Linked DNA regions of Stegostoma tigrinum. Each later gene encodes a partner of the first gene's protein in a complex. Links are inferred from orthologs where the notes say so. Each region holds a gene or a part of one and is shown on either strand. Other genes may lie near its edges. The genes, in order: nup205, nup93, nup107 and nup153.

What was found.
Region 2: nup205 (region 1) and nup93 share a complex: the UniProt entries of both Homo sapiens proteins name them as parts of the nuclear pore complex. The link is inferred for Stegostoma tigrinum from reciprocal best matches to the Homo sapiens genes NUP205 and NUP93.
Region 3: the proteins of nup205 (region 1) and nup107 are in contact, whole or in part, in a cryo-EM structure (PDB 7WB4), measured with the Xenopus laevis proteins. The link is inferred for Stegostoma tigrinum from reciprocal best matches to the Homo sapiens genes NUP205 and NUP107. Residues at the interface, in XP_041443600.1 of Xenopus laevis: Gly1247, Gln1248, Arg1249, Pro1250, Ser1458, Arg1506, Gln1507, Leu1983, His1991, Gln1995; in NP_001091312.1 of Xenopus laevis: Gln134, Glu136, Pro189, Tyr282, Tyr283, Gln770, Ser772, Phe773, Thr774.
Region 4: nup205 (region 1) and nup153 share a complex: the UniProt entries of both Homo sapiens proteins name them as parts of the nuclear pore complex. The link is inferred for Stegostoma tigrinum from reciprocal best matches to the Homo sapiens genes NUP205 and NUP153.

What each region holds. Positions count from the first base shown.
Region 1 is NC_081371.1:3,290,890-3,298,359, reverse strand, and holds the start of nup205 (nuclear pore complex protein Nup205), read right to left. Parts: upstream 3,196-7,470; 5' UTR 3,004-3,195; coding exon 2,973-3,003; intron 542-2,972; coding exon 399-541; intron 1-398. UniProt on the Homo sapiens protein: Plays a role in the nuclear pore complex (NPC) assembly and/or maintenance. May anchor NUP62 and other nucleoporins, but not NUP153 and TPR, to the NPC.
Region 2 is NC_081369.1:15,168,742-15,176,604, reverse strand, and holds the start of nup93 (nuclear pore complex protein Nup93), read right to left. Parts: upstream 3,432-7,863; 5' UTR 3,345-3,431; intron 1-3,344. UniProt on the Homo sapiens protein: Plays a role in the nuclear pore complex (NPC) assembly and/or maintenance. May anchor nucleoporins, but not NUP153 and TPR, to the NPC. During renal development, regulates podocyte migration and proliferation through SMAD4 signaling.
Region 3 is NC_081371.1:37,318,252-37,326,132, forward strand, and holds the start of nup107 (nuclear pore complex protein Nup107), read right to left. Parts: upstream 3,128-7,881; 5' UTR 3,030-3,127; coding exon 2,998-3,029; intron 2,313-2,997; coding exon 2,218-2,312; intron 121-2,217; coding exon 40-120; intron 1-39. UniProt on the Homo sapiens protein: Plays a role in the nuclear pore complex (NPC) assembly and/or maintenance. Required for the assembly of peripheral proteins into the NPC. May anchor NUP62 to the NPC. Involved in nephrogenesis.
Region 4 is NC_081355.1:33,648,669-33,656,449, reverse strand, and holds the start of nup153 (nuclear pore complex protein Nup153), read right to left. Parts: upstream 3,287-7,781; 5' UTR 3,105-3,286; coding exon 3,021-3,104; intron 1-3,020. UniProt on the Homo sapiens protein: Component of the nuclear pore complex (NPC), a complex required for the trafficking across the nuclear envelope. Functions as a scaffolding element in the nuclear phase of the NPC essential for normal nucleocytoplasmic transport of proteins and mRNAs.

The DNA.
Region 1 (7,470 bases):
TTTTAATACTCAAAACCGAGCGATGACTGCTGCATTAACAGATGTCACAAGAACTTCAAATTATTGTTGTTTATGACAAGAACCATAGCAAAGGATTGGAAGTTCAATTCTCAATACTTTCAGAGAGCTGGCCTGTTAAATGATACATGAAAACATATGTTGGAAATACATCAGTCCATTGGAGACTGGAGGATTTTGTGGTTGGGTTTCTGTTGATTTACCAGGCTTTTTACTTGAATTCTCAACTCTGCATGGATTTTTTTTTCTTAAAATAAGGTGAAACTGAGACGGACCTTCAGGCCTGCTGTTGCCTTTGTGTAGCTGATAAACCTGTTTGTGAACTGCCTGCATGCCTCCACTGATAGAAACTACAAAATAAACAGGAATGAAAAACTCACCGGATTCTTGAAGAGAGAGATGAAATCTGGCTTGTGCTTCTTGAGTGTGAGGTCCAACAGGTGAACAGCTTCTGGAACACGCTTCCAGATCACATTCTCCACTGTCTGCCAGATTTCTTTGTACGGCCCCCACAGACTGGCAGCTACAGCACACAAAATAAAAGCCAGTTGACGATTTGAACATTACTCATTCACGGCCACCTTTTTTCAGGAAAATCCTAAGATATGTAAGGAGTTAGATTCAGTAAGCCTCATGAGGTGAAAATTGGCTTGTGTGAGAATTTTGTATTCAGCCATAATGCCCTTCAGCAAGCCATGAAAGAGGAACATAATTCAGGGGCCTCACTCCACAGAACAGCAAGGAATTCATAAATATTAATAAAATAGTTTCTATTAGACATTACTACTGACCCAACTTTTAAGATCCTGAGCATTCAGGACTGAGGACCTTACTCATAAAGCAGACACCCAAACGAAAAGAGAATGAGAATACAAAAATCCTCTGTACCATTTGACCAGTACACCAAAAGATAACTCAAGCACATTACTGAGATGCATAATACTCAATGAACCATATACAACACTGTACATTTCAACCGAATTGTTTCAGCCAGGTTTTAGATTTTGAAAAATTTAAGCAAATTTTTTGGGCAGGGAGAACAGTAAAGCAGCTCTTTTTAAAACTAAGTAAGTTATGTTGAACATTGTGAAACTCTGGGTGAACTTGCACATGAACCACAGGTAACATTCAAGTAGAGTAATTAGCACGGTATGGCCTTGAGTGCAAGGGAGTTAGAGTAAATAGACTTTCTTGTGATTATATGAGGCTTTAATAAAGCTGTATCCAGTATGGTGCACAGATTTGGTCTCAGTACACAAGAAAGGATGTTCTTCCTTTCTTCAAGATTGAATGAAGTTTAGGATTTATTTCTAGCATGACTGTTAGCCTATCAGCAAAGTCTACTTTTGCTTGAGTTCCAAAGAGGTGATTGCATTGAAACATACAATTTCTAAGAAGGATAAACAGAGAAGATGCTGAGAGGCTGCTCTCCTCAATCAAGGATCATTGTCTAACAATGAGGAGGTCAGTCAATTATACATGAAGTCAGGAGAAATTTCTTCACCCAGAAGGCTGTGGAATCTTCGTAATTCACGACCTGTATATTTTTGGCTGTAGATGTAAACTAACCAAGGCACCAAGGGAAGCAAAAGGAAAATAAGCTGGAAAATGAAATTATGTAGAAGATCTGCCATGATGTTATTGGATAGAATGTATCAAGTGTGTGTACTCCTTTTACTTATTAATTATTTGGCAATATGTTTGGGTATTTCGCACATTAAAATATGCTGAATAAATGAAACCTTTATTCAATAAGGCAAATAATTTCTAAAACATGATGTTCAATGATTTTTGAGTGTTTCAGATCTTGAATTTGCAGTTCAATCAATTTATCTGCGAAAAACAACCTACTGTACTTAAGCATAATGTAGAAAATCACATTAGCCGAGAGGAGAAAACTTCAAACAACGTTATTTGAGAAGTATTTGCTGAGCAACGTGAAACAATTGATAAAAAAAAACTTTAAAATCTAATCTTAACGTTTGACACAGGTCCACAAACTTCTAAAATTCTAACAAGACAAGACACGACAGGGTAAACATACCAAGTAAGTTCCCAATGACTGGGGAGCCCAGAACCTAGTCTAAGGAGATGGGCTCGGCCATTTAGGAGATGAGAAAAAATATATTCATAGAAAGAGTGGTGAGCCTATGGAATTCTCTGCCCTACAAAGTGTTTGTAGCCAAAACATGTTTTGAACAAGGAGTTGGATAACAGTATAACTGCTCCTAATTCAGCTGAAATTCAGATTCCTTAGCTTGTGCAGCAACTGAAAAATATTACACCAACAAATAGGACTACAAGATAGAGGAGCAGGATTAGGCCATTTAACAAATGGAGTATAATTTACCATTTGATCATTGCTGACATGCTTGTCATTCCTATTCTCCTGCTTTCTCCCCATAGCCCTTGATCCCCTTACCTATCAAGAACCTACATATCTTGGTGTTAAATACATTCAATTACTTGGCCTCTACAGAGCTCTGTGACAATGAGTTCCATAGAGTCATCACTTCAAACTGGGACAGTGTTCTCAAGTCCGAGTCTCTCCATTAGTGGAAAAAATTTCTCCATGTCCACTCTTTCCAGGCCTCTCAATATTCTGCAAGTTTCAATCCCATCGTGCCCACCCAACCACCTCCCCTACTTTTCACATGGTCCCTGTCCCTCATTACTCTATTGCCCCCACCTTCCGCAGCCACCCTAGGCCTTTCTTGCTTCCTTACCCTCCCCTCCCCCGCCCTTTCTCCCAACTGAATTGTTGTCTTCATTTGAAGATGAAGAAACGCGGCCTGGGGTCGGGTGATTGTGGGTGAGCTGGGGGCTAACTGGCCCCCCAACGTTAGAGTCAGACGGTTGAATGAAAGACTGAAAGACCGACCTCCCTCCCTCGTTGTGGGTGAAGGGCGGACGGTGAGGCTCGCGTTTTGTTTCCCCCGTCTTCACTCACTGACCTGAATTTACCGCCATGGTCCTGGACGCCATCTTGGAGAGGAACCGGAACCGAAAACCTCCAGGTTGTCGTGGGGTGAGGAGGAAGGTTGTCCTTCACGCCAAACAGCCCAATCGTGCCCACACACCGTGATCAAGAGGCCACCCGTCAACTCTCGAATCAACGGTTACCTTCCCAACCCGCGATCTGCCCACAACCGGCCCTCAATCGAGCGGGTTTGGGGGAGGCACGTGACCGTTCCCACAATCCCGGACTACAACTCCCAGTATACCTTCACGCCACCACACCGGAAGTAACCCATTCACCACCCCCATCTTCCCCCAATTAAAATATTGCACCAAATTTCAATGAACGAACCTTTTAGAAAAAGCGCGATTTTCACGATTGCATCAAAGAAATAGTGGTTTCGATACAGTAAGAAATTGTCGCGAAGAGATGTTTGAAAAATGTCTGGGAAGCCAGCCGTGGGAGCCAGTTTCTGGGAAATGTAGGCCGCTAGGCCAGGTTTGCTTGATTCTGCGACGAATAGACTACATGTCCCACAGTGCACGGTGGACGACGGACCCAGGGGCGGGGCTCCGAGTGAAAGGGTAACGGTTGCCGGTGTATGGGTCGGCGCATGCGCAGTCGCCTTTCTGCGCAGACTCCGTCTCGCGTTTCCTAAGGGAGAGGAGAAAAAAAGATGGTGGCTGGTGTGTAAATTGGAGCAGTGCCGGAGATATATAATTATATATCAAATTATCCGCAATACAGAAGTGGAGGAAGCCATTCCGAGCAAGAAGACAGACAGAGGAAGGGGTGGGGACGAAACAAGGAAAATCAAGCCCCTTTCCCAGAAAGCTAAGGCCAGCAGAGAAGCAGACAGATCCAGGGAAAGGACAAGAGCGTTGGGAGCTCCTGCTGAGTTTGAACTGTGAGTCGGTGAGGGCTGGGAGGGAGAGAGACTTGGGGGAGCCAGGCACCCCAGCTATTTACTACTACCCGGAGGCTTCAGCGATACAGCCAGGCCGCGCTGGCCTGCCTCTTCCCACCGCCACCCCCCCCCACCCCAGCCACCAACCATCCCTCCTCCAGCATCACCGGGGAGCGGCACCACGCCGTGGATTCACGGGCAGAGGGGGGGAGAGCAGGCCAGCCGGCCGGCTTGGGAGAAAGCCTGTTCTCTTCAAAACACTAGAGAGTTGCAATTGCTTTGAATGTGGTGAGAGAAGAGGAATTCGCGTGTTTTTTCTTAGCCTCAACCGTTCAGGGGTACCTCCACGAAAGGGTTGTCCTTCCTTCTCCAAAGCGCAATTTTTATTTCTCCTTTGTATAATCCCTGGGATTGTGAATTTGCAGTATTTCGTTCTTTTTTTAAAACCTAAAGTTCATTCGCACCTTTTGCAACTACGTTTAGGGATGGGCAGCGTGTCTAACTTAGCGGGAAGTCTTATTCTATTTTTGCTTTTGAGCAAGTAGGCATGGAACAGGCCAACACTTCGCCTTAGATGTTACTTCATTGTTAGCAGTTGGGAGGAGTTTATATAAATGAATACAAGGTATGAAGGTTGTTATTTATTTGTCTGGGAATAAGTACAGGCATTTTTGCCCCTAAAAGATGTTCAGTAACCATGAAGAACTTTCCAAACAAATATGACTCTTGTTTTTTTTTAATGTTTCATACTTTTTATCTTGGTGATTACAAAGGTTTGATTGAAATTAGATTTGTTCAGGTTTAATTTAGGGAAAATCATGTATGTGTTTCTGAGAATTACAAGTGATGTTTTATCTTCAAAAACAAAATGTACCAATGAGTTTTGAAGCAGTATCTCGAGCATAAGAGTTTGTCTGTAAATTTTTAGTGGGAAATGGTAAGCAAGAGCAGTTAGTCTGATCAAATTGTGAAATAGAATACAAATTGTGTAGAATTTTTGTCAACATTTCTATGTCCCTGAAAGAAGGAAGAGAGTGATTATTACAATTTTGGGTTTGAAATTCTGAGGCTGGGCTTGCATGAGAAGTCAGACAAATTGGGGGTTACAATGGAGGAATGAAAGCATCATATTGCATATATTGACTTTAAACAAAAAATATATTGATACAGTTGTGTATGTACCCGAACCTTGTCGTGATGATCTGACTTGACTGGGTGCTGTCCTATTTCCATGGCGCTCTAAATCTAATGCAAATTGTCATTTAACACTTGAATTTGTAAAACAAAATACTCTCAAATTGCAACTGACTCTTGCGAAATCTAATGTAGGGTAGTACCTGTTGACAGCCTTGGTTAACTGAATAAACATGGTGCTAAATAAAAACTAAAAGACCTACAGATGCTGTAAATCAGGAACAAAAACAGAAGTTGCTGGGAAAGCTTAGATCTGGCAGCATCTGTGAAGAAAACAGCAGAATTGACGTTTTGGGTCCAGTGACTGGGCCCAGAAATATGGTGTTATCTAGTATTTGTCATCGAAGAATGATCAACCTTTGCAGCAGCAACAGGAAAGTTAACTGATTTTCTGGATTGCAAAATCTAATCAGGGTGAATAGTTTGTATTGTTATGGTGGTTAAGAATGTTTCTGCTGTGTGTTTATGCAAATTTTGTTCAAATGTATCATAATGAAGGGATGGTGTCCACACAAATCTTTGCCTCACTTACTTTCTCTCCCTTATGCCAAGACGTTTTGCTCATTGCTGTGATACAGTGCTGTCGTATTTGATCTGGGTGGTCATAATTCATGTGCAAGGCTCACCAGGGTGCAACAGGAGACACAGTATTATTCTCCCCACCCAAACGTGATGGTGCCATTTTTGAAGTACACCAAGCTGATTCCATTAGTTTAGTTCAAAGAAGGCATTCAATCTGGGATCTTTTGCCATTGTGATTGAGGTGTTCAGCAGAACTTGGTGAACCTGTACAAATAGTTTAACTGACATATAAAACAGATTTAAAAACTAACTTGGCTACTGCAGGTTGTCTGTTTCGTTGTGAGACCTAGCAGTGCAATTCTGAATTTTAACATTGAGCTTTGTTTGGCTGGTCTGTCTGTTGGGGTGATATTTCAGCAAATTTGTTGGCCCAACTAAGATGGATTAATTTTGGCTGTTAACGTTAGTCTGAGCTGTTTTGTGTTTTTAAGTTACACTGAACCTGTACCATGTAACATAAAAATACACATTCGTTTTCTGCACTAGTGGTTTGTGTTGTTTCTGAAAAACACAGACCAAGTCCCAGTAATAATGGTTTATTTGTGTTTCATTTATTCCTACAATACAAACAAATTAGGTGCACAGTTAGGCTTTTTGGTTGCTTGAGCCATTTTCACCGTGCAATGAGAACGTGGCTGATGTGAAACTGTAAATTCTCATTACCTACAATAAGCTTCCATGTTTCTTTACCAAGAATCTCTGCTGTAATATTCAAAGACTCTGCTTCCCCTACTGAGAAACAGAAACCCATAGATTCATGAACCTCCAAAGATTTCTTCTCACGTGAGTCTTAAACAGACAAGGTCTTGTTTTGAAGCAGTGACCCCGAGTTCCAGATTCTTGCACAAGCAACTTTTCCGTAAGTAATATTGAGGGGGGTTTGACTCACTGCATGCTTTAATCAGGTTACTTATTCTTCTGAACAACAGTGGCTACAAGCCTTGCCTTTCAAATTTTCTTAGTAAGATAACATGCAGAGTTCAATTTGAGTATGGTAAAAGTTTTCTAAGATCATTCAGAAGCACTTAGATTCTTCCTTAATTAAAGACACCAGTAATGTGGTTTCACCAAAGTCCTGTACAATGAAAGCATAATCTTTTACATTAGTATTCAGTGCCCCTCTTAATAAACAATAGCATTAATTTAGCTTTCCTAATTATTTGCTGTCTGTACATACTTAATCTTCCGTTATTTGTGTACCAGGGCACTCAGTTCCATCAATCTCTGATCTCTTACCATCTAGAAAACATGTTGCTATTTTTGTTCCTGATACAATTAGACACTTTCAGATTGTAGAACTGGAACAACTGTCCTTTAAGCCCTGATTTGGGGAGAGGGAAGCTGGGCTAGGGGTTTCTTATCATAATTCAGAATTGTACTGGGAAGAAGTATGCATGAATGAATGCTCAATTATGACAGTAGAATTGTATAGCTTCGTGGTTGAATACCTTGCTGGCATTCAAAGTCACCAGAGGAAGTACGATCTCTTTGACCAAGCATTAGAGTGTACCTGTCTCAGTGCAGGTCTGTGCTTCCAGTTGTGTATGCAGACAGGGTAGTGAATAGTTGGAATGATTGAAAATTTTGTTGCACATTTTGTAAGATTTTGCACAGTGTCTTTGAAATTACAGCCAATCTAACAAGAAATAAGAATGTCTGAAATTCATTTTGTCACATCACATTAAATAGGTTCTCTGGCTTCATAGCCAAAAGCTTTTGCAAAATCCCCATCTTAATATGTACAAGTCATGCAGTGGACTGGGCCCTGCAATTGCCACCTATTCGCTGTGCTTAACTGATTTGACACAAT
Region 2 (7,863 bases), on another chromosome or scaffold:
TACGAACATCACTACCAGCCTCCTCCCACCCCAAGCCACACCATACCAATTTGGAAATATACTGCTATTCCATCACATCTCAAACTAACAAAATGCTCTTTATAATACCTACACTCAAAGGACTGTAACAGTCCCAGAAGACAGCTCACCACCAACTCCTCTGGGGCGATAAGAAATAGGTAATAAGTGCTGGTCTGGCCAGGAGCTTCCACATCATGCGAATGATACTTTTAAAAATCAAGTACTGTATAGTATTCACCAGACAATTGGATGAATCTCAATTTTTAAATCATTAAGAATGGTTCCTAATTTTAAAATCTTCAATTAAGTTCTTTTGCATTCCAAAGTTATGCTTATGATCCATCTTCTCATCACTAAAGCTGAAGTCTCATTTAAAAAAAAGACAGCTGTTCACTGTTACTTGTTACACACGACACCAAATCCAGCCCCTTAAACATTCACTGTCTGCACCATTGACACCACCTGGCAACAGTTTACACGTTAACATACTAAGGTTCCTTAGACATCACCTTCCAAATCACACTTTGTACCACCTAGAAGCACAAGGGGAACAAATTCATAGGAACACCACTACCTGCCTGTTCTCAATCAAACAGAAGGCAGTGGAGGCCAAGTCATTGAGTGTATCTTGCACAGAAGTGGATAGATTTTGATCGGCAAGGGAGTCAAGGGTTACAAGAAGGCAGGAGAATAAGGCTGAAAAACATATCAGCCATGATCGATGAAGAGTGGAGCAGCCTCAATGTGCTGAATCATCTAACTCCACATCTATATCTTATGATCTTATAGTATGGCATTTAGTCACTCCTAACAAACTGTACACCTGCATTTATGCCTCCTCACCTCTTAATTTTATTATGTTATATTTCTAAATTCAGTTGTTTTTCATTAAAGATGTTACTTCACAATTCTTGACTAGGAATTCATTTACAACAAACCTTCCTAATTCACCAATCTTGCTACACGCTTCTTAAATCTTTCAAATATATCCTCAATTTTTCAGTTAAATTTTCTAATATCACAGAAAATATTGCACAGGAGACTCTCACTCCAACAACCATACCAATGTTAAGTTTCCAAATGACACTAACCGATTATCTCAATTTACCGACATTTGTATTATTCCCTTCTTAAAATCATGGTCAGTTTCAAGAACACATGACCATCCTTGTCTGAAACAACCTCCCAATTGACCTCACACTTAAAGAAATTTTGCTGAAAATTTATAGGCATCGGAGAGATATCTGGAATAATATATACAACCCTGTTTTCCTCAGTCAAAGAAGGACATATTTCCCCCCTTCAAAGGGGATGAAATAAGGTTTTGTTAGATTTATTGATGCAATGAAAGAATTGCCCAACAGGAGATCATGTAGATGAGGCTATAATCCCTAAAGATTAGGAGAATGACAGCAGATCTCATTGAATCATGCAACATTCTCCAAAAGCTTGACAGACATGCTGGGAGGATGCATCTGTTTGCTGCATAATCTAGAATTACAAGGTGAAAGTCCAAAAGTCAGAGTTGGACATTTGGCAAAGAGGAAAATGTCTAAACATAAGGACTGTGTGTCATTGGAATTTTCTACCCTCGGCATCACTGATAGGTCAGTCAGAACATATTCGGGGAAGATATAAATAGATTTTGGGTAGTTGAGGATTAAAAGATATGGAGATAGAGCAGGAAAATAGAATTGCCTTAGACCAGTCCCAATCGTATCAAACAGCAGAAAAGGTTCAAAGAATCAACAGCCTATACCTCCCATTTCTTAATCAGTAATAACACTGGTTTGTGTGTGTCATTGCTAACACATCTATTTCAGAGAGATAGTCCAAGACAACACAGTGTGGACCTGGAGGAACACAGCAGGCCAGGCAGCATCAGGGGAGCAAGAACACCAGCATTTTGGGTCAGAACCCTTCATCGGGACCGAAGAAGGGTCCTGAACTGAAACACCAACTTTCCTGTTCCTTTGATGTTGCCTGGCCTGCTGTGTTCCTCCAGGTCCACACTGATGTCTTTTACAGATATGTTTTCACTGATTATGAAGATTCCAATATTTAAAACTTCTATTTGATCTCCCCTTCCGACCTGGAATTTCACTTCCAGTGGAAACATCTGCATTCTTTCATAATCTCTCATGTGATGCCTTTCAGTCAAATCTTCACTGCACCTTTTACATGGCTTGAATATAAATTGGGGCATATACCCCAACAGTAACAACTGTTCTTAGAAAATTTCTCAATTTTTTAAATATTTCTCAATATTCCTACATACATAAGGGGATGTAAACATCTTTATTATGACCTCATGAGTGCATACAGAACTTCAAAGATCAACACGTATAACCCTGGATCTCTCTGTCCCCCTCTGCTGTTAGGAATACTATTTAGACACTTCTTTACATTTATCATTTCTTCTCTATACACGTTTGTCACTTCTCTACTTTGAGACAGCACTGACATTATTTTAAAATTTGCCTATGCCTTTCTGCAATCTTCCTCAGATCATAATTCCTCAAACTCAGTCAAACACTTGTTGCTCCCCATTTGCTGTCTTGGATGGACCTGGATTTGGACTCCCCTGCCCTGTCAGGGGAGGGGATATGTTTAGTATCCCCCCCCGCCTGCCCTGTCAGCGGAGGGGATATGTTTAGTATCCCCCAATGTCCAACCTGGCTATCACTTGCCCAGTACTGCCATTACCTCTTATCCCAGCCTGTCTCCTCATAGTCCCTAGATACCCCTGTCACCAGTGCCCCGTTAGCATTCGTCCCAGCACCACCCGCATTACTACATCTCCATACCCGTTACCCCTGCCCCAGGTGTGTGTCTATCTGTCTCTCCCTCCCTCCCGGTATCTCTCTGCACAACACATATTACCTCTCTCTTCCCCAACTGTATTCGCCCTCGACCCTCAGGATCATCTATCTCCCCCGCCCCCGTACTACCTATGTCCCATCCCCATCCCTACCCCGCATTACTCCTGCCCACCAAGTACTCCCCCCATAACACCATTGCCCTAGTATCACCCTTTCCCCCAATATTTTCCCGTTATTACCCCCTCCCCAGTTTTACCTCATCTCTCTCCCCCCGAGTATGCCCCCCTTGTTATTACCCCTTACCCCAGTATTACCCCTCTACTCGCCCCCCGATATAATACTCCTCCATCACTCAGGTACTACCCCCACCAAGTATTATCCCCAGAATTCCCTCGTTCCTCCCGAGTATTGTCCCTCTAACCCCCATGTTACCCTCTCTCTCCCCCAGTATTAACCACTCCCTGGTATTGGCCCGGGAATCACCCCGCTCCTAGCAATTACCTCTCTCCCTCGGATCGGGCCTGTTTTCTCGATGAAGCAGCTGCCGCCTGCACTTGGCCGATACCCAGGCTGCTCCGCGAGCTGCTCTCCCATTGGCTGCCCTCAACAAACATCCGCCTTCCCATAGGTTCATCAAGCGTCACGTGCAGCTACTGGCGGTACTATTGGCGGAAGGTCTCGGCGGGCCGGCCGCAACAACCAATCAGAGAGGCTCCGTTGATGAGACTGTAACCTCACGAGGCAGAGGTGAACTCAGTCAAACAGAAATTAAACGGTGTGAGGGTCGGGGGGACCGGAGTGACACGGACCCCCGGGGGGTGGGGGAGGATCTGGAGTGACACGGACCTGGGGACCGGAGTGAAACCGTCCCATGTCTTCGATAACGTAGTGTAATGAACAAGTGTAATAGTTAATCTAGCAAAATCGACCAATGATCATAAAGTCCAATAGATAATGCGTTGAAATAACCAAGTGTAGTAAATATAAATATCCACTATAATTGATTATACAGTATAATAAAGCAGTGTAATAGATGTAATCCAGTGTACTAGATATTACACTCATAGATAAAACAGTTAAATAACCCAGTGACATAAACCAGAGTAACAAATAATATAGTCAAATAATAAGTATAATTGACTCTCTGGTGTAATAACGCAATAAATTAGATATTACACTGTAATAGTTACTACAGTCAAATAACCCAGTGAAATAGACATCAGTGAAATAATTAATAATTCTATAAAACCAGAAATAAATAACCCAGAGTAATAGATAACCTGTTGTAATAATCCAGTGAAATTACTCAGTATGGTAGATAACCCAGTGAGTTTGACAATTGAATTTAATAAACCAGAAAACTAAATAAGTAAAATAGATAACCTAGTGAATGTACAAGCCTGTGAACTAGCCCAGTGATATTGGATAACCCAGTGAAAGTAATTACCCAGTGAAATACATAATCCACCAAATTAAACTGTAAAATAGATAATCCAGTGAAGTAGAAAATCCAATTGAATGGATAACCCAGTGAAATTACCCATTGAAATAAATAAATCAGTGAAGAATGTAATCTAGTGAAATAGACAACCCAGTAAATGCATAATTTAGTTAATTTCATGATCCAGTTAAATAAATAACCCAGTGAAAATAGAAAATCCAGAGATACATATGTAGTCTAGTTGAATAATTAACTCAGTTACACAGGTAACTCAGTGAAATAACTAAACCGTTTAAATCAATATCCCAGTGAAATAAACTAATGAAATAAATAACCCACAGATATAAATTAGCCAATGCTGTAAATAATCCTGTTTCATAAACTGGTAAAATAATCCTTTGAAGTGATACAGTGAAATAATCCCATAAAATAAATTAGTCAAAAAATATCGTGTAGCAAATAAACTAATGACAGTAAATTAGTTTTAAAAAATCCAGTGAAACAAGTAACCCAGTGAAATAAACTAGTGAACTAAATCATGGACGTAATCCAGTGCAATAAACCAGTGAAATGCCCGGTGAGATACACCATTAGAATGACGTTATGAAATAAACTAGTGAAAGAACCCTGGGAAATGAAATAGTCTAATAAAGAGGTTGACAGGCCTGCTTTTCCTGTTAAGTTTTAAGTTGTCGGTAAGACGGCTAGAGAAGCTGCATAACTTAGGAAAGGGTATCGGCAGCAGAAATATTTCCCAGATATTCTGATACTTCCCTGAAGCTGCTACAGCTTGTTTGCCGGAGGACCTTATATGCAGGAAGTGTTGACAGCTGTAAGGATTCAACCTCCTGGTTTTGGGTATTGAACAGCAACTGCTGAGAGTTGTGTCAGCTGCATGTTTCTAGATGTGGCCACCCTGCAGGTTAAGAGTGCACAAGTAGATAGAGACAGCCGAGGAGGATAAGGCAGGAAGTGCATCCTGTTCTCCAGCAGATATTACATTTTGTATCTTGGTGTGAGTGATGGATCATCCCCAGGCATGCAGTCAGAGCCAAGTGTGTGGCAACACAGCTATCTGCTCTGTGCAGATATCATATTACAGGATTTGGTAGTAAGGGAGCGAACAGGATTTTCTGCATCTTCGGATGTGCATCCAGGATGATATTTCTGCCTCCCTGATGCCAAAATCAAGGATATCGCTAACCAGCTGCCGAGCACTAAAGGGAGCGGGTGAACAGTCAGCTGCTTTGGTCTACATTGATACCAACTTAGGCAGAAATAGGAATGAGATCCTGTATTCAGGCTTTGGGAAACTAGGAAGGAGACTTGTGGTGTGGACCTCAAATGTAGTAATCTCTGGATTACACACAGTGCCAAGAGGCATTGCACATAGAAATAGGAGAATAGATCAGCGGAATATGAAACTGGCGAGATTGTGCAGGAGCTTTAAATTGTTGGTACATTGGGTCATGTTCTATGCAGGCTGGTTGAGTTGCACCGCAACACGGCAGGACCAGGATCATGAAATGTGTTCTCATGAGCTGGTTCATAGTCTTGGCAGGGGATTGAGAACCAGAATGTGACATTAGAAAGGAGAAAGAATGTGCACAAAGGTTTGACAGACAGATAGCATAGAGTAAGAAAACGTAGATGTTATTTGGGGATCAGTACACGATGAAATGCCAGAAGTCTGAATTATTAGAAAATAGATGACAGGTTAGACAAAGGATCTTGATCGGCACAGGCTTGGAGGGCCGAAGGCCCTGTTCCTGTGCTGTTGGTTTCTTTGTTCTTTGTATTTCTGTGCACAGATGTAAATACTCCTGTACGCCAAGAGAAGCAGGGAAAAAAAGGAGTTGGAATGACACTATTGATTAAGGTTACAGTGCTGGAGAGAGGTTGTCCCTAAAGGGATCAAGAACAGAATCAATTTCATTAGATGTTGGTACCATTGCAATACTAGGTATGTTATATAGTTCATCAAATAGTCGGAGAAGATACAGAGAAGCAGATTTGCAGGGGAAATACAGATTAATGCAATAACGGAATAAAGATCATGGTGAACTTTACTTATCCTAATAGAGTCTGGGTAATAATTTGGGTGAGTGACTGGAACAAGAGTATAATTGTGAATCAATGTTTTTCTTTATACTGAAGGAAGGTGTACAGTGGGGTTTCTCAGTGATCAGAATTAGAGTCTCTTTGAATTGAATTGAATTAGCTTTATGGTAACATGTACTCAAATGAATACAGTGGAAAGTTTATAAGGTGCCACTTGTGGTGCCATCTTAGATACCTAGTTACAGATTCTTCATTATATTAATGACTTAAACGTGGGTGTTTGGGTATACCTGTTGCAATGAAAGTTACCGCAGGAAAGTGTGACATGATGCATTTCGGTACAAAAAAATTGAGGGCTCAATTCAGAAGGGTCATTGACCGCAAAACATTAATTCTGCTTTCTCTACACAGATACTGCTAGGGCTGCTGAGATTTTTCAGCAATTTCTGTTTTTGTTTCTGGGTTCCAGCATCCACAGTTCTTTGTTATTTTTTCTCAGTTGAAATATTGTGTCCAATTTTAGACACATATTTTGGGAATAATGTGAATGCTTTCGAAAGGGTGCAGGAAAGATTTAGTTCCAGGGACTTTTGGGACTTTAGTTAGTGGATCATTTGAAGAATTGCTGCCTGTTCTCCTCTGAGAGGAGAAAGTTAAGAGATTTGCTAGAAATATTCACAATAGATAGAAAATAAGCCAAATGTGGAAGGAGAATGGCCAAGAGAACAGCAATTTAAATTAAAATGCAAAATGCTAACATAAGGGAGAACTATTTTACATTTTGAGTAGTTTGGAATTTGAACTATCCAAGAGTGGGGTACAGGAAGTATACACTGTGTGTAATCCAGAGATTACTACATTTGAAATCTACACCACAGCTCTCCTTCCTAGTTTCCCAATAGTGGTCTAAAAAGCAAAATTGGAAATCCCAAAAAAAAATCAAAAACGCAGGACTCCGGGAGAAAGGGTGAGGAATGTTGGGTTAGCTGAGTTGCCTTTGCAAATATTCAACAGGGGCACAGCAGGCTGAATGGCCCACTTCTGTGGTTCTATGATTTTACATAATCTTTCATCAGCGTGGCAAGCCTGGCTTCACATATGTGTCTCGGAAATCAGGCAGATTCGAAATGATCCATTTTGGTGAGGTGAGCCAAAATTTCATTTATTAGACATTTGGACTCCCCAGTTGTGTTCAATTGTCCTCATTTCTGGCTTTCCCGTTCTTCTACCTCTGCATGCACCATGGGAAGATGTCAAGGGTTGATAATGTGGACCTGTTAAGTGAGTGTTGAAATGTACAGCATAGCTGCTTTTGATAGAGCTGGGCCTAAGAGCTTTTACTCTCACTTACCTTTCTTCTCCTCATAAATAAAGTTTGTCAAATTGAGAGACATGTAAGAGTTCAAATCAGTACTTTGAAAACAGCTAATAAAAGGTAAGTAACTTTTAAAGGTTAATTAAAAGCTAAGTAGATGTAAAAGTAAACTTATTTGTGGGAACAAAGTGTCCTAACTAAGA
Region 3 (7,881 bases), about 34 Mb from region 1:
TTACTGGTTCAAAGGTTAGTTATCTTAGTCAATACTTACAGAAGTCTTGGAATATATGAGCTGTAGCTCGAGTAGCTGATAGCAGATGTAAGCTGGAAGGGCCTTTAGCGTGCTTCAGTACTTTGAGAGAATAAGTTAAGTGAAGTTGGATCTGATAGTTCACAAACAGTCATCACTTCTTTCCAGCAAATCTTTATTAGTACTTGTTCTACATTAGTACCAGTTTGCCCAAATTAAAACACAAGTGATATTCAAACTGCTATTCTTCAAAACTGCTGCACTGCCCTTGCATCAATACTTTCAAAAGCGGTCGACCATGACATAATTATTAATCACCTCAAATAGTTAACTGAGACTGAAGCACAGAAACAAGCCCTCAAGTACAAGTAAAATACAGTGGATGCTGAAAAACTGAAACGAACAGAATACGGAAAACCCCAGCACAGCTGACAGCATCTGTAGAAGGAAAATTAGAGTTACTATTTTGAATCTGATATGAATCCTGTTCAGCGTTTCCTGACTTACAGCTAGCTTACTATCTATTTTTCCAACTACCTCAATTTCAAAGACTCGTGACTAAGGTCAGAATATATCGTGCAGTATCTTAATTAAGGTCTGTTGCAAACTTTATATATCCACCGAGTTACCTGTTACTCTTCCTTCAAAGGATTCAATGGGTTTAATGATATTTTTGCCTAACATGTTGTAACTCTTCTCCTTCTGGATTGTACATGACTTGTGTCTTTAAGTAAAAAGGCCATTATTTTTTGTTTATATTTTCCTTGACTTGTTCCTATTTTCCTTAACTATGAAAGCAGCATGGTCTTTTCACTGGAAACCTTGCCCACATTTGAAGATGTGCTCTTCAACTTTACGAACGTGTCATTCAACCATACAGATTAGGGGTAGGTACAATGTCATTTCAATAGACTCTCTCCAAGTCCAACATTCTCTCTTAAAAGTCACCCTCCAACACTATGTTCATAGAAACAGATCCTTTTATGCAGATTCTTACCCCCATAAACAGAAGTGCTCTGTTCGTGCTATATTAACAGTTTTGATCATCCTCTAGCCTTTGCCTTTGAGGTTCCTCAAAGCTCTATTCTTTGCCCCAGTTTTTGTTTCTATACGAAATGATTCTGTCCATCTTTCATTCAACTTCCTTCAGATCACATGTTCAGCATTTACAATATCCTGTTTTCTTGCAGTGCCATGGATCAATCCAATGTCAGCCATCCCATTTACTAAAACAAACAAATTCTCATTTCTTCTGATTCCTCAAAAACAGCTTCATTCTGAGTCTTTCATGTGGTTACATGACCAGAGGATTTTACCTCCATGAGCCCCAACCTTTCTGTCATGGAGCCAAGAATGTCTTCAAACGTGATAATGAATTTTCACTGTTGCTGGCAGTGTATTCAAGAAACTGTCTATTCTCTTTTCTTCTTTATCACTCCTGTCTTTCCTTCCTTCAGTAGTAATTAAGTTAATTATATGTACAGAACTTGAGAATTGCCTACAAAAATTTAGTCAAAGCTTTTACCTTGAATGTAGCAAGAAAGATGAGGAAAAAAAAACAACTTTCATACTATATTGAGGAGAGTGGGGAGTGATTGACAAGTGGACTGTAATTGGTTGAGGTACTGCCATGAAGAGTGCACTCATGGACAAAATGATTTATGAAAGCCCCAAAGTAAGTTATAGATTACAATAAAGCTTACTCTGCCACAAGTAGACTCAGAGATACCGATTGTGCATTATGCTGATCTTTGCAAAAATACAGAAATAAATGTCTGGAATACATGGAAGAAAAAAATGCCTATTTATGTCTTTCAATTCACAGCAGGGAGGGAAAGATCTCCTTGCCCTTGATCATCCCTCTGCCATCGTTTTAAAAAAAATCCTTTGAACAAGATGCGTCCAGCTCCATGTTCCAAAGGCGGCTTCTTGGTGGGTTTATTCTTTTTGAAATATTGATCATTATCTTCAAGTCCTTCCCTAATAAACATCAGACCATAATGCTCTTGTCCAATGAAAAAGATAGTTTCCATACTTCATTCTTTAAAAATAGCAATATTCCTGAGTCACAAAGACAACTTAGTAAACTTACAAGAGAATGCAGAAAACAAAGGAAACACAATATTTCACATAAAAATATAGGTTAAATGTTACCATTGGAGACCCGTTGGTCAGAATGGCATAAAGTGAAAAGGATACTGTCAGAACCTTTTTTTGTAGCACTGCGCCTCAGAGAAGTTCTACTAGTTTCAGAGCTCCGGACTTCAGGAGATGGGAAATCTCCACTTGTCCGTCTGAAATAAGAAGATCCAAAAGTTTAGAAACCAATGCTAAGATTTTAAAGGTAGCTACAAAACCTCATATTAATACACAATTCAAACTAATGTTATTGTTCAATAACTTCCTTCTAAACATGACTGAAATTAAACCATTGATTTGTTACTTGCTTTTTTAGCTGAAAAATAAAGATCAAATTCAAGTTAAATATTTTAAAATATACATATAACAAATATATTGCACCTCCATCTAAAACATTCTTTAAATTCCACAAGACCTCAAATGAAATCTTCCTGCTACGTTGTATTTGCCCTCAACCACACATCTAACTCTCCTAATCACCAGGCCAGGGTCTGAGATTTCGCTCAGTAGCTCAAGAAACACCTTTTCATCCCTTCCCTCCACCTACAACCTCTTCACTACCCCTTCCATTCTCTCACCACCCCCTTCACTCCTGACCCCTGCAGTCTCTACCTCCTATTCCTCCCCTCACTTCTCCAATATTCTTCTCCGTCCCTTCCTCCTCCTCCAACACCCACTCTCCCTCCCCTTCTTCTCGCCTTCGCCTCCTTTCCCTGTCCACCTTCACCCCCATCCATCTTCCCCGATTCCTCTCTCTCTCTCTCTTACACAAGGCCCTGGACATAATTCTGATAGAAGCACATCTCACGTGGGCGCTGAAACAAAGGTCGATCTTCCTACCTGTCCAGTGATTCCTGCCATACTTGCGACATGTTGAGTGCCGACAAACTACCGCCTGTTGATCCGTAAAAGCACCAAAACTACACCTCCACTTTCATCGGCGCGCGCTTCAACGGCCGCGTCCTTCGCAGTCAAGAGGTAACAGATTCCCTCCGGATCTCAGCGCCGCTTCGGGCGCCCCCTGTGGTTGGCGAGCAAATTGACATACACTCAACAAGCGTTTCATTACATAGACCGGAAAGAGCAGGAATTAGGCCATTCGGCCCATTGAGTCTGTTCCGCAATTCAATCATGGCGGATAAATTTCTCAACCCCATTCTCCTGCTTTCTCCCCATAACCCTTGATCACCTTGACAATCAAGAACCTATCTATCTCCGTCCTGGCCTTCTGTGGCAATGAATTCCATAGATTCACAACTCTCTGGCTGAAGAAGTTTCTGTTTATCTCCGTTCCAAAAGGTCTTCCCTTTACTCTCGAGCTGTGTCCTTGTCTCTCTGGATAATGGAAACATCTTCCCACTGTTTATTCTGTCCAGGCCATTCAGTATTCCTCCAGAATCCCTACAGTATGGAAACAGGCCCTTCAGCCCAACAAGTCCACATTGAACCTCAGATCATCCCACTTAGACCCATCCCCCTATAACCCACCTAATCGACACCTCCCTGAACACTACAGGCATGGACAATCAACCTAACCCACACATCTTTGGACCATGGGAGGAAACCCACGCAGACATGGGGAAAATGTACAAACGCCACACAGGCAGTCACCCGAGGCTGGAATCAAACCCAGGCTCCTGGCACTGTGAGGCAGCCGCCACCATGACACCCCAATTTCAATTAGAACCTTCCCTCCATCCTTCTGAACACCATCGAGTATAGACCCACAGTCCTCAAATATTCCTTATGTGTTAAACCTCTTATTCTTGGGATCATTCTCGTGAATTTTCTCTGGACCTACTCCAGGGCCAGTACATCCTTCCTGAAGTATGGGGCCCAAAATTGCTCACAATAGTCTAAACGTGGTCTGACCAAAGCTTTATAGGCTCAGAAGTAAATCCCTGCTTTTACGGTCTAGTCCTCTTAAAATAAGTTCCAAAATTCACCAATCCAATACTCAGACCTCTTATTGAAGAGGCAGATTGTGTTTGGAGGGTTGAATAAATAGTTTTTATTTGGGAGGTTTGTGTGCTATGCTCTCTCCAAGACCTCAACTTTGGGTCTGTGTTCCCAATAAAGTCTACTGATGTAAGTTGTACCTTCCAAAAGCTTCTCCACATTGGTCAATTACAAGTCAGGGATTTAAATGAGGCTCAGGTTTTTTGACCTCTTCAGGGATGCTCTGAGGATGTCTCTAAAGAAGAGAGAAATTCCATTTCCCTCCTGAGATTCTCATGTCTCAACCATGTTATGAGTAGAGTAGTTGCTTCGAGAGCCTCGTGTCAGGCATACAATGATTTCTGCTGCTCAGCAGGGCTGTTTTTGAATTATTAACATCTTAATTCTGGGCATGTTAGCTTGGGAGACAATGCTGCTATCATTATGTCTTTCTTGCCACTCAGTTTGCAGAATCTTGTGAAAGCACTGCTGGTGGTACTTGTCCAGTTTAACTACCCCATGTCACAAAGTTAGACTGTAGCTATATCTCATCTAACTCTCTCTCTATGTCACTGCTACTCGGTCCCCAGTGGCCACTTGAAACCTGCTTCTTGTCATTATCCAATATGGGAACATCACATACAGGCAAGCAATCTGACAATTTCAAAGATGAGCTTTTATTTACAGCCAGCAAGAGCAAACACAGCCAACACCAATAGAGACTGTGTTTTATCTCAACAATGACAACCAAATGTTGACATGATAACCAATGACTAATTTACAATCAATGATGTCCTTCTGCATTTAGCTCGCATCGCTTGAAACCTGGTGTCAAAGGTCCTGTGGGGCTTGTAGTGCTTGACATACCAAGTTAAGTCATGGACAAAGACAGCTTTCTTCTCTCTGCTGTCTTCATCTTCCTTCTTGGAAGGCTGGGTCCATTCTTCCAGTTCCTCAGCTTCTATCACATCACCTCATTGCCTGCTACAGCTGTGCAGAGCACAGCATAACTAGGTGATGCGACACACTCTGCTGGGACTGTACTGCAGGATTCCACCCCATTCTTCCCAAGACCAGTCCAAGCAGTGGAATCTCATCTTGAACAACCCTGTTGACAGTTCCAGTATGGCCATGATTGAAGCTTTATATCTGTGCTCCACGTCAGACAGGAGTTTAACTAAAGGTGCCATGAACCATGGTCACAGTGGCTATCCATTGCCCCCCAGTAACCAGACTTGTAATGTACCTAACTTCAAACATGCCAAGTGCATGAGAGTACCCCAGGATGTAGGAGTTATGGCTGCTACCAGAGTAGTGGATAAACACCTGCAGAAGTGGTAACAGTAATCATAGATAACCTGAACATTAATCAGGTGGAAGCCATTCTTGTTTATGAATTCCAAAATATTGTTACATGACCCTCAGTGCCACATGTGTGTAGTCACTGACACCCGTGGGAAGGCAGCTGTGTTCCCATTATTTTACTGCCCAGACTGCAGCGCCAACCTCATCATGAGGAAACAAAATGAACTGGTGTGACCTTGCACAGATGGCATCAATGTTCTGATGCATTTGTGGCTGCACGACTGAGATATCCCAAATAGGTCATACCGAAATTCAAATTGACTGTCACTTTCACCAGGAGAAGATGGCTTTCTGCAGCTCTCAGATCTCACTCTAGCAGTGAGCCCGGGACATATAGAGCCTGTGTGATTACTGTGCCTCAATTATTCACATGAAAAGGTGTCAAGGCCTATGAATCCCATGCATCCTAAGGGGTTCTGTTACTATAACCTTTCACCAAGCTGGGTGCTCCTCATTTACTGCAGGGGCCTGCTGCTATTTCTAGGTTCACTGTTGGCCCTGGTCCTTCTGCATCCTCCTTCACTTTCTTAGGAACGTAGCCACAGTGACCGAAATCTACAAACCGCATAGCGCAGGACACTCAGAGGAAATGACCTAGTTTTGGAACACAAGAGCCATTTATGGCATACCCTGCAAAGAAGGGCTGAAAATACTTCTCGATACAGTGAGACATGATGCTCCCCAATTATTCATTCAGCTTCAGCCTCAACTTGATGAAAGATGGTTGAGTGGCCACATTACAACAAAAGGGATCACTGGATGTGCTCTGACCCTCTTCCCATCTCAGACCCACATCATCCATTCAACTTTTCATTGCACTAGTTTGGATGATCATTAAACTTATTTGATAGATGATGGGCCTGTACCTCCCACTAAACCTTTGGAAGATATAGAACATAGAACAGTACAGCACAGTACAGGCTCTTTGGCCCACGATGTTTTGCCGACCTATTATCCTACTAAGATCAAATTACCCTGCATACCCTACATTTTTTATCCTCCATGTGCCTATCAAAGAATCGCATATATATTCCCATGTAATACATTTGTTTGTTGCACAAACTTCCAAGGTCTGTGAATGGCAGCAACTACCAAAACCAGAAGTTAACATGTCCAGCACAGCAGTCTGCGTGCACAGACCCTGCACATGTTAATGTAGCCATGCAGCTTAGTAGGAAAGTTGTTTGGAAATTGCACAATTAATGGTTCACCTTGCATAATATTGACCTCTATCTGAAGTCATTGCTGCTGTCTTCTGCATCACTAGGACATCAATATTCCATTTGCAAGGACCAATAGCGAGGCACAAATCACTTTTGACCAGCATTTGAAGCCCAGGCATGTTCATTCGTCAGACATTGCATTGGTTAAAGAAGCAATTGCAAATTAAATGTAGGTGAAGTTTGCAATCACCTCCTTCATGTATTTGCCACTTCAAGTGCTGGAGAGCAGGAGACATGGATCCTGTGCTTTCATCCATCAAACGGACAGCACTTCACCCATCCTGTGCCATGTCCCAGTCACTCTGCAGTTGCATTTCACATCTAGAGAATGGCAAGTGGATGGCAGGGAAGGCAGCTCATCACCATCAGCACCCTGTTTTGCATGGCTGCCAGGTACCCACCCTACCCCTAGAGCTTCCATGTCTCCTTTAACATTACACTACCCCAACAAGTTACCACCAATCTCCAACACACCTCCCACACTCTCACCAATGAGGAGATCCAATACATCAAACGCTACCAAATTTCCTCCCTGCCTCCTGAACACTGATGTTATACCTTAATGACATGCACCCATCTCCTTTATAGTGCTGGCCATTTCCAGCAACCCCCCCATATGTTGCTTATCATGCCCTTTGATGCTGTTGGACACATTCCCCATATACCTTAAGATCACATGTCCATTACTATCCTTTTCCCCACCTTTTCAACTGCATCTCACAGCTTTACTTATCCGTCCTCAGTTGGTCTCACCATATAAATACAGTGGCTATAACAGCATGTCAGAGGCGGGGAATCTTACAATGAGTAACTCACCTCCCGACTCCCCAAAGCTTCTTCACCATATACAAGGCACAAGTCAAGTGTGTGATGGAATCCACTTGCCTGGATGGGTGCAGATCCAACAATATTCAAGAAGCTTGGCACCATCCAGGACAAAGCAGCACACTTGATTGGCACCACATCCGCAAACTTTCACTCACTCCACCACTGACGCTCAGTAGCAACAATATGTACTATTTGCAATGTGCAAAACAGAAATTCACCAAGACTTCTAAGACAGCACCTTACAAACCCATGACCATTTCCATCTTGAAGGACAAAGGCAGCAGATAGATGAGAACAACACCACCTGCAAGTTGCCCTCCAAGCCACTCATCATCCAGACTTGGATGTATATTGCTGTTTCTTGAGTGTC
Region 4 (7,781 bases), on another chromosome or scaffold:
AATGGCCATCAATTCCTCCTCCACAATCCCAATTACTTAGTGTTTCAGGTTACGGCTGGTGGAATAGAATGGATAGACAGCTGAAGACATTTTGAACCAAAGGCAAGGTAGGTGGAAAGTTTGTGTGGGTGAAACTTGTGGGCTGGGTGAGGTTTCAGAGATGACAATAGAGGATACAAAAAGGGATTTAACTGAAAATTTTAGAAATTAGGTGCCCGAAGGGTCAGGAGACAATGAAAGTCAGCAAGAACAGGGAGTATTAACAGTGCAACAAAGTATAAGTAGAACATAAAAGGTAGTTTTGAATGAGGTGATCTTTACAGGTAGTGGAGGACAAAAGCAGGCATGGACATATTTGCATCAAAGCAATAAAGGCATAGTTGAGTTTCAGTAGCAGAAAGGTTTACCCCATAGATGCAAGCGATATTATAGAGTACAGTACAGCACAGGACCAGTCACGTGGCCCACCAAGTTGCCATTCTAAACCAATCCCATCTGCTTGCATATGGTACATATTCCTACATTCCCTGCATATTCACATCTTTAAAAATATGACTATTATAAACTGCCAGCATGCTTCTACATAAATGCAGAACGTAACAAGAACATCTTACAGGTTAACGTAAGTGCTATTTACAATAATAACAATAATAATAATAATTATTTGAATTCAGAATCTCAGTTCAGATTTGAAGAGGTTGAAGTAAATCTGGGTCAGCAAGATTAAACTGGAGATCCAAATACAATGGCTTCAGCCTTGTTCTGACTGGAAGCTGACCCAAGACTGAGGATGATACCATCAGAAGGCAACATGCAAGTAAATAAAAGGAGGCTTCCATGGGTCTTCTGAACAAAGGCATAATGGTATAGGAAAAAAAGTAATCACTGGAGATAATCTAGTTACAATCATGTTAGGAAAGGTGGAACAAAGAAGTCCCATTTACTTCGAACCTGGAACACTGGTGCATTTTGAATTCCCAATTTTCTTTTGTGTACCAATGACACAGCTTCTACAGAATTCCTTTCACAAAATTTTCCACCTCACCCTCCTCCAAGAGGAGTTTTAAAACTTTGCATCACTAACTTCTATCTGATAACACTTTGTGAAGCTAGGTTTAAAGCACCAAATATATATAAGTTTAGTTCGGTAACTTGCAACGTGTTTAAAATGCAAGACTGCGATACTCTAAGACTGTGTGTACTGACAATGAGTTAGTGTACATGAAAACAAATAAGTGGCTGGAAATAAGACTGAAGAGTGAAAGATACAACAATCTAAGGGAGGTAGCAATAATATTTGAAAGGTAAAACATAAGGTGAGGTTTAACTATATAAAGAGTATACACAGCAAGTGTAACCATAATCCTTAAAGTAGTAAATAACTACACATTTCATAGATGCGGGACACACACAAATGCATGCTTTTAGCAGGTGAAATTCTTTCCAGAACAAAAATATCAATATGGTCCTAATGACTGACGTTCGGTTAGTGATACTCATTTGGGTCACAGGGTTTCAAATTTAAGATTCATTCAAAGTTCAGCATAAAAATCAAGACTGGCAGACCAGCTCAGCACCCAAATGTGTCCTGCACCATGGAGATGCTGTAGCCCAACTGCCCCTCAGGTGGATATAAAGGGTGTCATGGAACTGTCTCAAAGAAGAGCATCAGAGAACGATTACTTGGCCCAACACATTTGTTTGTTGAAGTTTTGTACGCACAAACTGGGTGTCAGGTTTTCTTTGTTACAAGGATGAAACTTTAATGACTGTAAAGTGCTTCAAGATGTCCGTACTTGCGCATTATATTTCATAAATTCACTTTTTCCCTCCCACATATTAACATCTGAGATCTAAGAAACAAGCATCTTACTGAAGGGCTGAAACAAGCCTACAGTGCCGATTATGCACTTCCATTTCGATAAGAATGCATCAGCATGGTTTGCAAAAGCCTATCACAATGAAGCAATACCCCCTCAGTATAGTTGGGAATGAAATATAAAAGTTGTGTGGAAATTATTTTTGAATGCCAAGTTTCTGAACACAAATAAGACCGATCTTCCAACCAAAATGCTTTCGGTTGTTTTTGATACTAACAACCTCATATACTAGTACTAATTGTAATAATTTTAAAATCAGACTGTTCGAATATAAATCCCTCAGGTAATATACTAGCTGAAGTTCAAAAAGCAAAGTGTCCCGTCAAAATGTAAATTTATTAAGAAGTCGGTGGCAACAGTTGAGTACTCCAGATACCGGCAGCGTGAAGTCCTCATGTCAAAGTCGCAGCTGAGCCACCCCCAAACCCACGATGATCGTAGAAGAGGAAACTGGTTAAAATGCAGTACACGAATGTACTGGCTAAAATCGCACTTGTACGCCAAACTTCCACAACAGGAACAGCAGTATTCGAAAATGTTATGGAAGACTCGCTTTAAAGGAACAAATCAAGTCCGCGCCAAAATGCCCATGGCGGCACGCGAAAAGGACGGAGACCGGAGCAAGCCGAAAGACTACCCAGTGAAGCTCAGGCCAGAACGGGAGATTGAAGGAAGAAAAACAGGGCAGCGTAGTAAAACAGGGGAGACGAAGTCGAGGGAAAAAAAGGAGAGAAAGTCGCTCTTACCAGCCGGCCGTGGGAATGCAACCGGAAGCGAATAACAAGCCGACAAGAAGCGTCTCAACAGCATTTATACAGTAAACACTAAACACAATGAAATAAATCCCAGAGGGGAGAGATCCATTGGGAGTTACAGCTCCGTCGTCAGCACCTTCTACCCGCCTCCAGCCTGTTTTTTTTACCTTTTTGAACAGGTCGGGCCCAAGTTTGGTCCCGACTCTGCCCTCAATCGCTCAGGCCGCTGAAGCCAGCCACTAGGCCGCGGCTCGCGCACACCGTCTCTGCCGAGAAAGCGGGGCTCACGACAGCCGCCTCCTCCTGCAACGACTTAGTTAAACCTAACGCGGTCCGGTTTGGCAATCCTTTCTTTAGAGTAACAACAAATAATAAAATAAAATACCTGGTTCTTAGCGTAAGGTTTGCTGATGATATGGTGTCTCTTGTTTCGGATTTTACCCCCCCCTCCTCCTGTCGCCGCCGCCATATCTGAATCCGTCTGCCTACCAGTCGCTCGCGCCGCTCTCTATTTCCTAGCAGCCGTGTCCGGGAAGAGGTGGGGGGGGAGGAGGGACGGAGAAGGGGGGAATCCACACTTGTAACGTCACACGCTTTCTACCGTCTCCCGCAACCACGCACTTCGCAACAAGCATTCAACCAACCATCCGCATGCGGGCGCGTTCTCGCTCACTCGCACGCAAGTGCCTTCCCTCAGGGGAAGGGTTTTTCCCCCAACGCACGATGCGCGCTCAAGAGACAGCATGCGCCAAGCCTGCGTCACCCCGCCGCCAGACGCTGCCATTGGCTCCGCCCAACAAACGGCCCGCAAAGCATCAAGGGAGCAGAAGGAAGATTAGCGCATGTGTTAACTTCCGCTTTGCCCTCGTCTCCCCACCATGTTTCTGTGCTTCTGGTCTTTAGACCAAAATATTTCTGAGGATGGAGATCGGGAGGGTAATACGGGTGTACGAAATCTACATTCTCTCCTCAGGATGTCCATCTCTGGCTCTACGAACGTGATTGACTTGAGCTCAAGTGGATCAGTGAATTTTTCAAAGGGATTCATTTGGCTACAGAATCTGCGTGCTGATCAGTTTCGTGCTTGAGGGAAGGGGAATTACTGACCAAAACTTACTCAAGGGAAACCAAGATTACCTTATTGAAAATGTGAAGTGTGTAAACGGTCATTGGTTTATTCCAAAATATTACTAGACTGAAATCAGACAGTGTTATCTAACATTGAGAAAGCAGCTACAGAGGGTCAAGAAAGTTTCGCCGAAATATTATGAGTCATTTTACATCACAACTGTGTCTCCACCTCATTACAGGCGTCATGGATTGCGTGTAAGGACGTTGGAAGTCATGACGAGTACTGTAGAAATGTAAAATTTAACTTTGTACTGATGCGAATTGACTTATGATTTTTGGCGTTTACTTATGTGTGTGGTGGCAGCAATCGTTGAATTTTTTATCCTCTGGTGATTCCAAACGCAACCTACTACCGATGCTGTAATTCAAGCAAACAAAAAAAAGTCAGGTGGCAGTGAAGGGGGAGAAATTAATTTGGTTCTAGTGAAAGTTCTAAACTCAACTTTCACTTATACGTTCTCCTTAAAAACCATATGACCATAAGAAATGGGAACAGTTGCAGGGCACATTGGCCCTTGATTGTGCTCTGCCTTATTTTTCACTCATTCAAGGGAATGTGGGCATTGCACGCTCGACCAGCATTTATTGCCTGTCCCTAATTTTTAAGTGCCAACCACATTGCTGTGCATCCAGAGTCAGATGTAGGCTAGACCGGGTAAGGACAGCAGATTTCCTTCCGTAAAGGACATTAGTGAACCACATGAGTTTTCCTGACAAGCAACAATGCTTTCATGGTCACCAGTAGACTCTTCTTTCATGTGTTTTTTTTTCATTGAATTCAGATTCCACCATCTATCATGGCAGGATAATAAATTTGATAGGAGCATAGCTCATGAGACAGTAAGATATAGGAGCAGAGTTACGCCATTCGAATGAGTTCTGCCATTCAATTATGGCTGATATGCTTCTCAACGCCTTTCTCCTGCCTTCTTCCTGTACGTTACTAATCAAGTTCCTATCAATGTGTCTTTCTTAAAGACAGTCAATGACTTACCTGCACAGCCTTTTGTTGTATCAAGTTTCACAGATTTACCAGCCTCTGTTCTGAGGGTCATTCTTTAATTCTGAGGCTGTGCACTCAAGTCCTAGTCTCCCCTGCAAGTGGAAACATCTTCTCCACATCCCCCCTCTTCAGGCCTCTCAGAATTCTAAATTACGATACCCCCTCATCCTTCAAAACGCTATCTAGTTCTTCAAACACTTGTTGTATGACAAGCCGTCCATTTCCAGGATCATCCTTCTGAACACTCCCCCCCGAGGCAGGGTCATCCTTCCATACGTACAGGGCTCAAAATTGCTCACAATATACCAAATATAATCTGGCCAGAGCCTCATACAGCGTCCTTAGTACATTCCTGCTTTTGTATTCTATTCCTCCTGAAATGAATGCTAACATTGCACTTACCTTCTGAACTGAATCTGCATGTTCACCTTGAGAATCCTGAACTAGGACTCCTAAGTCCCGTTGTGCTTCAGATTTCCAAAGCCTTTCCCCAGTTTACAAAGTAGTCCAACATCTATTTTCCCTATCAAAGTGCACAGTTTCACACTTTTCCATATTATATTCCATCTGCCACTTCTTTGTCCACTTTTCCAGCCTATCCAAGTCTTATAGCTTCCCTCAACGCAGCCTGCCCCTGCACTTATCTTTGTGTCATGTGCAAATTTACCAACTATGCCGTGAGTTCCTTTGTCCAGATCATGATGTCTAACATGAATAGTTGTGGTCCCAACACTGACCCATGTGAAACTCCATTGGTCACGAGCTACCATCCTGGAAAAGATCCTTTTATGCCCACTTGCTGTCTCCTGCCAGTCAGCCAGTCATCTGTCCATTGCCAGTACCTTTCCCAGAACACCATGGGCTCTTATTTAGCAGCCTCCTGTGTGGTACCTTGTCAAAAGTCTTCTCTAAATCCAGAGAATCCCTTACACTGACTCTCCTTTGTCTAACGTTCTTATTGCTGATGCCCACTTTCCTCTGTTTTCTTTGTAACCCATCATTCCCCTACCGATCAAGAATCTATCTGTCTCAGCCTTAATTATACATAAGGAATAACATTAGTTCTTAGTTTAACATTTGTTGTTAGGGAATTACTAGACTCTAAATTCACTTATACAAAGATTGAACACCTTTAAAAGTTTTTTAGATTTGTAGCTTGGGTTGTGGATGAGTTTGTAGACTTGCTCACTGAGTCGATCGATTTGTTTGCAGATGTTTTGTCACCCTGCAAGGTATCATGGTCAGTGCGCCTCTTGTGTAGTTTTGGTATTCTTTCCTGCTTGTTATTTATATGCCTTGGTTTACTGGGGTGATTGGCATTATTTCCAGTTCTGTTTTTCAGTGGTTTGTATATTGGGTCCAGTTCAACGTGTTTATTGATGGAGTTCTGGTTGGAATACAGGTCTGCATGAATTCCCTTGCATTGAACACCTTGAATTGTTTCAGTTGACCCAAGAAAGATTGCACAGATCTACCATAAGGTGAGAATTGGGAATGTTTGGCAATGATTGCACATTGGTCACCAATCATTCCTTATCAGCTACTAAAGCAGTCAATATCCATATGCAGGAAGACCTAGACAACTTTCAGCATTGAGCTAATAAGTGCCAAATAGTATTCAAACTGCAAGTACCATCTTGACTTGTAACTGTAAGTCCTTCAATTCCAAGGGGTCAAAATCCTGGAACTCTCTAACACCCCAAGAACTGCTACAGTTCAAGAAGGCAGCTCAGCATCACCTTCTCAGGGGGAATCAGAATGGGCAAATAAATGTCAGTCCAGCCAACAACAGCCACAACCCACAAATGAATAAATAAAATTACACTAGACAAACCTGATTCAATTTGATCTTCATAGTTTTAACCGTCAACTTGAATATTGAGTCTGATCTGGGCACCATACTTTTGAAAGACCTTAAGTCTTCAGAAAAGATGCATAAAAAATTTAGCATAATGATTCCAGGGATGAGGAACCTGAGTTACTTTGACAGATTTGAGAAGGTTGAGAGAAGATTTGATAATGTATTTGAAATCAGGAAGAATCAAGACAGAGCATCTTGGGAGAAATGGTCTGCTGTTGGAGAATGATTGAGAACAGAAGGATACTGATTTAATCTGAGAAGCACACAAACCAACAGCAACATGCAGAAAAGTATTTTTATGCAGTAATTGACTAAGAATTGGAATGCATTGCCTGCGAGTGATAAAGACAATTTTGACCATGACTTTTATAAGGCACATTTACAAGGCGCCTAATTAGATAAGCACCTGGAGAAGAAAAGAATGCAATGCTACAGGGAAAGGATTAAGGAACGGGACAAGATGAGTTGCTCTTGTGGTGAGTGGGCAGATACTTATTGAGCCAAATATTTGCTTCTTGTATAAGAACAAATCAATGATTTTATATTTTGCAGAATTAACTGAAACAACGGACGTAGGAATATCTATGGATGTTGTTGTATGAATTTCCAAAAGATGTTTGATAACTCCTTATTAGCTAAATTTGAAACTCATGGAAGTGTACACAATTGTAGTTAGGAAATTGGTAGAGTGGGAAGAGACAGAGTAGGCCTGAGTCATGACTTGCGATATTCCACAAAGATCTGTGTTGGGGCCTAAAGGCACATCTATTAAAGAACAAAGCCACAAATCCAGCATACATGCAGTTTAAATATGAACATATTCTGAATAAACATAATTATGGAAAATAATATTTACAATGAACCTAAAAACTTCAGAACATTATCCATGATGAAAAGTATCAAGCAGTGAAGGTTCAAAGAGATGTGGGCGCTGTTTACATGGATCTAAAATATTAGAAATTAGAGTAGCAGATGGAGTTAGAAGAACTCAAGTTAGTCAATAAAAAACCCTTGTCAGATCACAATTGAGAGTAGTGTGAGTAGTTCTGTGCACATCTTAGGATAAATTGCATTGCAGGGTACACAGTGTAGTTCAGCATTTAAATACATTAAAATGAAATCCAGAATCCAAGGATGAAATTATGAAGAAA